Linked DNA regions of Callithrix jacchus. The protein of the gene in region 1 purifies or fractionates together with the protein of each later gene. This does not show direct contact. Links are inferred from orthologs where the notes say so. Each region holds a gene or a part of one and is shown on either strand. Other genes may lie near its edges.

What was found. The genes of interacting proteins can lie anywhere in the genome.
Region 2: the proteins of ARID2 (region 1) and BCL7A purify together in Homo sapiens (affinity purification with mass spectrometry; 3 studies listed by BioGRID and IntAct, counting the BioPlex papers as one, with this or other methods). This does not show direct contact. The link is inferred for Callithrix jacchus from reciprocal best matches to the Homo sapiens genes ARID2 and BCL7A.

Annotation. Positions count from the first base shown.
Region 1 is NC_133510.1:29,645,712-29,649,456, reverse strand, and holds the start of ARID2 (AT-rich interactive domain-containing protein 2), read left to right. Parts: upstream 1-1,432; 5' UTR 1,433-1,560; coding exon 1,561-1,652; intron 1,653-1,767; coding exon 1,768-1,861; intron 1,862-2,029; exon of another isoform or gene 2,030-2,832; intron 2,833-2,929; coding exon 2,930-3,027; intron 3,028-3,745. UniProt on the Homo sapiens protein: Involved in transcriptional activation and repression of select genes by chromatin remodeling (alteration of DNA-nucleosome topology). Required for the stability of the SWI/SNF chromatin remodeling complex SWI/SNF-B (PBAF).
Region 2 is NC_133510.1:125,227,622-125,231,366, forward strand, and holds the start of BCL7A (B-cell CLL/lymphoma 7 protein family member A), read left to right. Parts: upstream 1-1,439; 5' UTR 1,440-1,611; coding exon 1,612-1,703; intron 1,704-3,745.

The sequences.
Region 1 (3,745 bases):
AAAGCAAGGAAAAACATTTTATTCGATATTTATTTTAAACGCAGTAATCTTTAGGAGACCTTACTATAAAAATGTAAACGTTAATTATTGTCGAAGTTGGAGATTGCTTGCTAACCAGTTTAGTTTGCATAACTTTGGTAATAGAATAATCCAGTTTGATATGTGAAGCCAACCAGAGGCAAGATGAATTATAAGCATTACTCTTTTTCCACAGAACTAGGACAGACAGTTCACATTATATTTAACGTATAGTTTGCTAAAGATAGCGTGTGGATAATTCATAGAAAATGTGCTAACCAGGCCCCAAAATACTAGCATAAGGCTCATAAAAACCAATTTCTTTAGACTTTACAAAAAGAGAAGGTAACAAATTGACTTTATTCCGATTTGTGAATGTTGCGTAGCGTGAGCTGCCCCGGTAAGCCTCCTTTCCCTCCAGAGCGCCACACCACTTTTGTTGGGCGGGCGGGGACTCCGAGGCGGCCCTTCCGACAGCCGGGCCAGGGACGCGAACATCGCCTCCACCCCTAACCCTGGAACAACCGGTAGTGGCCGTTCCCCCGCGCCGCCCCCCTTTCCGCCGGCTTTGTGTGCGTGTGAAATGTGCGGCACATTGCAGACGAACCCTAAGCTCGGCGAGCCGAGTCTATTGTTCCCCGCGAGGAGCTGCCGGGGCGGTGTGGAGCCAGGCGCAGTGCCGCGGCCGGCCTTTGGGGGTCGCTGTGCGGCACTAGCTGCCCGGCCGTGGCGGCGGCGCTGGCGGCGGCAGAGACCGAGGCTGACGAGGAGGGAAGCAGGCGGGCGGCGGGCGGCGCGCAGCGGCTCAGCTGCCGCCGGTGCTTCTGCCCGGGGACGCCCCGGCCTCAGCGGCCGAGGCCGCGCGTGAATGTGTGCGAGGGCTCCGCGGAGCCTGGGCCGAAATACACGCTGTCACCCCGCTTTCTACAAACCACACAGACCTCCCCCTCCCCACCCCCAGCCCCGCCTGCCCCAGGCCGGCCGCTGTCGCCGCCGCCGCCGAAACTCTAGGGCCTCCGGCCGCCCCGACCCCTCACCGTTGGCTCGCCTTGCCCCTCGCCCGCTCGCGCGCCCCCGGCAGCAGCACCATGTTGAATCGCGTACCCGGGCCAAGCCACCTCAGCCGGCGGCGCTGAGAGGCGGGCGAGAGCCGGGCCGCGGGGAGGGAGGGAGGGAAGGAAGGGGTGGGGGCCGCGCTCGCCCCGCGGCTTCGCGCGGATCCGGCAGTCGCCTGCCCCTCTAGTTTCGCTCCGATTTCTTTAAACTTTTTTAGAAATTCCCCTCCCTCGTTCCCTCCTCTCCCCCTGGCCTCCTGCTCCCTCCTTCCCCTCCTCCTCCTCCTCCTCCCCCTCCCGCCCTCCCTCCCTGCGCCGCCGCCGCCGCCGCCGCCGCCGCCGCCGCCGCCGCCACCGCCGGCCCGTGACTGAGCCCCGCCGCCGCCGGCCGAGGAATGGGCTCCGGGCTCTGGTAGGAAGCGCTGGGAGCGGGGGGCGCTTTTAAAACACCGATCTGGGTTTTTAAAAAACCTCCTTTGAAAAAATAATGGCAAACTCGACGGGGAAGGCGCCTCCGGACGAGCGGAGAAAGGGACTCGCTTTCCTGGACGAGCTGCGGCAGTTCCACCACAGCAGAGGGTGAGAGCAGAACCGGGGGGGCAACGCCGGGGCGAGCCGGGGCGAACGGGGCTCTCCCGCCCGGGCCGGGCGCGGGGTCCCGGCTGACAAGTGCGGGTCTTTCTCTCTCCCGCAGGTCGCCTTTTAAAAAAATCCCTGCGGTGGGTGGGAAGGAGCTGGATCTTCACGGTCTCTACACCAGAGTCACTACTTTAGGCGGATTCGCGAAGGTGAGTGGAAGTTTTAATTTGTATTTCCCTCTCACTGGCCTCCTCCAAAAAGTCTCCTTTGACCCCAGAGTGGGCGCTTGGGGCTGGGGGGGTGGCCCGCGGGGGCAAAAGGCGTTCTTTTCGCTCCCAGCCGGTGGCACGGAGGCGGACGGCGGCGGGGCTGTTTTTGGCCTGGTGGCTCGCGTGCGCGCGGCGGGCGCGGGGCTCCCGCGGGCTGGCGGCCCGGCGCCGGCTAGCGCCCTGCCCGGTGCCCAGTTGGGCCGGCGGGGTCTGAGCGCCGCGGCGGAGAGTGCGGGCGTGCGGGGCGCCAGCCGGAGCCCCGCGCCCGCACCGCCCGCTCGCTTGTTCGCTCGCTCGCTCGTCAGCTCTGCCGCCGCTGCCGCTCTAGCACAGGCTGAGACACAGAGACACACAGACTCAGAGCAGTTTTCGTGCAACTCAAAATTAGCGCGGGCAGGTTTAACATCGATAATCGGCTGCGAAATGATCCTGGCAGCCGGGGGCACAGCCTCGGCCCCGTCGCCCTCGGTTTATACAGCTAACAAAAGAAACCAGGACCTGTCTCCAAATAGCCATCTTAGGCTTCAAGGCTAGGCAGAAGCTGTAGGCCTCAAAGAAGGGCCTATGGAGATGGATAGATCTGGGAGAGGGATCGGAATCGGCCCCGGCCCCGGCCCCCCCAGAACCCGCGGACGTCGCTGTCCGGAACTGTATTGATCCTTTTGAACTTTTTTTTTTTTTTTTTTTAAGTGTAAACGGACCGCGTTGAGATTTAAAAGGGGGCGACAGAGGGACTTGCGATTGGTTATTGTCCCGGCTTCAAAAACAAAACAAACCCACCAATCCCCCCCAAACAAAACAAGTGGTATTAAATACAGGGCTGTCTGGTGAAAACAGTGATTCAAGACGCCCTTGCTTGCTTAGTAACTCTTACCTTACCGATCGATCAGAAACAACCATTGATGCCTTAGGTATCTACAGATCTCTGTAGAATGGGTATTTATTTCAGTTAGGTAAAGGTTTTTTTAGATTGTTCACTTTCAGACAAGTGTGCCTGTGTTTTACCAGGTCTCTGAGAAGAATCAGTGGGGAGAAATTGTTGAAGAGTTCAACTTTCCCAGAAGTTGTTCTAACGCTGCCTTTGCTTTAAAACAGTATTACTTGCGGTGAGTAGTAGTGACTTTTCCATAGTATTTGGAAATAAGGGACTTATGGAGAGATTTGTTTTTGGCAAAAACAAAAGCAAACCTTGCACACCAAACAGTTCTAAGCTCTTGTTCATTTTAGACTAAGACACATTTAATATAAATAAAGTGAGATTGTAGGAAGGTGCAAGTTTTTCTTACCAATTTTAGGATCGTTTACGTTTTTCATACAAAATCATTACAGGTGACACCCCACCCCCCATCTTGGTAAACATTCTTTTGTGACATTGTTATTGATCGCTTGATATCCACTGAATGGAAGAAAGGTGATGCTTAGTAAAAGAGTTAAGATAGTTAATGAAACTGTAATCTTTGGGAAAATTTTTTTTTCTTTGTTTTGGAAACTTCTTTGGTTTAAAAAATTCTGACTTTCAGATTTTATTTTTTAAATGAAACTTCTTGTTTGGAACAGTGACATTGAATAGGTTTTTCAGTAGAATATGAATGCATGGCATAACATGTTGGTGCCTTAGGTGACCAGGATTGTTTTGAGAATTACTTTTTGTTGAATTTCCAGTGACTTAAAAACGTTCAAAATGATTATTATATCTCTAGGAAAATGGGGATGCTATGAAGTGGGATACTATACTTTGGATTTTCTTTCATTCTCCCTCTTTCTTTTTTTTGACTGCTTATTTGACAAAGTTCTTATTCTGTTGGTATGCGATACAGTTTAGAT
Region 2 (3,745 bases), about 96 Mb from region 1:
TTCCATCCCCCAGGTTCAAGCGAGTCTCCTGTCTCAGCCTCCAGAGTAGCTGGGATTATAGGTGCCTGCCACCGTGCCTGGCTAATTTTGTATTTTTAGTAGAATGGGTTTCAGCATGTTGGCCAAGCTGGTCTCGAACTCCTGACTTCAGTTGATTCGCCCATCTCAGCCTTCCAAAGTGCTGGGATTACAGGCATGAGCCACTGCGCCCGGCCAGCATTTGTTCTTTTCTTCATTATTCACGTCAGGAGCTTGAGTTTCATAATAGTAAGAATAAATGCCTAGGAAAAGGCCTGCAGTTTCTCCATTTCCTCAGTAGCGTTTTCCCCAAAGACCAAACCCTCAGGGGAAACTGGTCTAGAGTAGCGACAGCTACAACCTTGTTGTATGTTCAGGGCTGCAACCTTGACCATTCCCGGGACTCAGTTTCCCCAGCTGTGAAATGGCAGGCCCAGGGCATGACATTCGGGCCACTCTCAGTCTCCCACTTCATTTCAGGCGCGCGTTAGCTCTGGTCCAGCCGGTTCCGATGCAGCTGAAGACCAAGGTGCGGCACCCAGGTTACCCTGATCATCGCAGATTCCTCTCCGGGGCTCTGTTCTGAGGCCTCAAAAGTCCTCCTTGTAGATGGGACCAGTCCCTTGTACCCGCTAGGGTCGTTTCGGCAGCAGCAGCGCCTGGTCTCAGTCTGGTACTGAAGTCAGGAGTGGCTTAAGGGGAAATTGTGGTCCTCTGGTGAACCCGAGCGAAGACCCTCTCGCTTTATTTCTGAGATAAAGCGGGGGCAGGAGGAAGAGTCCCTGTTACGATGCTGATCATCATCGAGCTTTTCCTGAGCTCGATGAAATTCTTTAGGTCGCATGATCGAGAGTCTCTCGTGGTCTGCCTGGCCCCAGGCACCTTCCTACGAACCCGGTGTTCCAAAAGGACAAGGCCTGGGGCAGGCGACGTCCTAGCTCGCATTCGAACAGGGCCGCGGGCCAGCAGAGACGCGCGATGCCCAACTCTTTCCGAGAGCACCTCGCGTCCCGAACCGGCGCCTTCAACTCGGGGAAGTCAAGAGTCCGGCAAGAAACTTGACCGCACCCGCCGCCGCGCTCCAGGCCCAGGCAGGGGCTGCTGAGCCGGCTCCCCAGGAAACGTGCTCCAGCGCCCCCGCAGACCGGCGGCCTCCCGGGGACCCCTCGGCACCTGCGGCCTCCGAGGAAGGGTCCGCGCGCACTTCAAGCCCGCCCCCGCCGCGCGCCCGGAGCCGCCTCCCTGGGAGAGCGTCCGGGGCGTCCCCCCTGGGGGCGCGGGAGGCCCGGGGGCGCTGCCCGGTGGCCGCCGCGCCCGGAGGCCGCACCGCCGGCGGCGGCAGCAGCGCGGCTCCCCCTGCTCCGTGCAGCTGCCGCCCGGCGCTTGCGCACTGGGCCCAGCGCGCGGCGGCCCCAGGCTTTGTGTGTGTGTGTGTGAGTGTGTGTGTGAGTGTGTGTGTGAGTGTGTGCGTGTGAGAGTGCGAGTGTCTGTGCGCCAGTGAGTGAGCGGCGGGCGGGCGCGAGTGTGGCCGCCGCGGAGCGCGAGCAGGACCCGGCGGGCGCGCTCCCCAGCCTCCGTCTCCCCGCCGGAACCATGTCGGGCAGGTCGGTTCGAGCCGAGACCAGGAGCCGGGCCAAAGATGATATCAAGAGGGTCATGGCGGCGATCGAGAAAGTGCGCAAATGGTAAGCGGAGGCGCCTGCCGCCCGCCGCCTCCCCGGCCGCCCCGAGCCCGAGCGCGGCTCCAGAAAGCCGCGGGGCGCAGCGCCCGGGCCGCCTGCCCCGGCCCGGCCCCGCCGCGGGCCCCGGGACTTGGCTAGGGCGCGCGGGCGGGCGGGCGGTGCGCGAGCCGGGTCACCTGCGCCAGGCGGGGGCCGCGGCCGCTGCCCAGGTGCGCTCGCTCCTGTCGCCCACCTGGCGCGGCGGCGGCGGCGGCCCGGAGGCGGCGGGCGCCGGGGCCGGGCGGTTGGAGCCGCGGGCAGCCCCCACCGCGGCGCTTGGCTCCCGGGAGGGGGGCTCGGGGCCGGCCCCAGAAGCCATTTCGTTTTGTGCAAGTCACATGAAAGCGGCTTCCCGCGCGCCGGGGCCGTGATGCCGGCGGCGGCGGGGAGAGCGCGAGCTCCATTGTGCAGACTCCGAGCGGGCCGCCGCCGCCGTCTCCTCCCCGCGCGCCCTGGCCCGCGCCCCGCCGCTCTCCGCCGGCCCCGGCCCGCCCGGCTGCCCGCTCCCGCCTCCCGGGCCCGGCGCCCTCGAGTCTGCGGAGTTTGCAGAGCGCGAGCCGTTTAAATTTAGCGCTTTGGGCTGCCTGGAGCGAGAGCTCTCGGCGACCAGGAAAGATGGGGGCGAGCGCCGGGAGCCAGCGGCCAGGGGCGCGGGGCGCCCACGTCCCACCCCGCTCTGCGCGGCGCCCGGGGCGGGGGGCTCGGGCCAGCAGATGTTTTTGGCCAGAAGCCGTTGGTCCTGGGCCGCGGCTGCCTTTCCACACCGCGAGCTCGTGTTTGTTTTGCGGAGGGAGCCGTTGTTTTTGTTCTCTGCACGGGGGTGAGGAGGACTCGGCGGCTGTCGCCGCCGCCGCCGCGCGTGGTTTTCGGTCTCCGGTTAGCGTCCGCCCGGCGTGGCCGGGTAGTCATTTAGGGGATCGAACCTCTCCGCGGCCTCGTCCGGGTCTGCTCGGAATCGTCCTCTGGGCCAGGCCCGAGGCGCCAGCAGATCGCTAGGTTGGGTCAGACTTGTTGAAAACTCCCCGCTCCCTGATTTCAACTTTATTATTTTTTTCCCACGCCTTCACCGGGGTCTGGGAGGGAGAAGAGCCGCTGCGATGCTGGCCCCGAGTGTCAGCGCCCGCGGGCTCGTCCCGACCCTTTATTTCGAGCCTGGAAGCCGGGCAGGCCCCTTGGCAAGGGATGTTTACGTTTAGGGGTGTCATTTCTCAAGTAGTGCCTCGGTCTCTAAAAGCCACTGGGGGCGAGCCTCCGGTGTGGCGGTGTCACAAGTTAGCTGTCCCTTCTGAGTCAAACCCAACAAAAAAGGCAAGAGGAAAATCAATAAAGTCCACGTGCTCTCGGGCCTCCTATGGAAAGGGCTGGCTGCGATGGCCGGATGCCCGGCCGTGGGCTGGGTTTGACTCCAGTGGGACAAAGAATTTTCAGAACCGGGAGAAGGGGAGGCTTTCCAAAGTTGAGATCCAAGTCGTCGATGTCTCGGGAGCTCCCCTGGTGCGCAGGGCGCCCGGTGCCCGACTGGAGCCATTTAAAAATGGCAGAAACAGCTGCAGGCCAACACACACACACTAGAAAGCAACCCGCAGCCCCCTCCACTGTGGGATTCCCCGTGGGAACCCTGAAGTGGCTCCCCTCCTCGCCTCAGCCCCTGTGCAAAGAAAGAACTGGTGTGTCTGTGCCTGGGTCCCTTCTGTCGCCGGCCTGAAGGTTGGGAAGCAGCCGGCAAGCCGCCTTTCTCTGCTTGGGGAGGCGTGGTGGGGCCTCCTGCCCCAGGTTCCCGGCAGGGCAGAGGCTCCTGCACTCTGACAGCTGCTCCCGCAGGGCGGCCAGCTGCTCTGCAGGGAGGGCAGATGGAGAGATGGGGCTTTCCACCCCGCGGGCCCCAGGGTGGCCAGCCTGGAGGCCTTCCAGCCCACTGAGCCCACGGGGACCAGGCCTGTAGTTGGGGCTGAGGGAGGCGGGGCTGCGCCTCTACGCCTCCCTGAGTTTGGGGAAACATCACATCG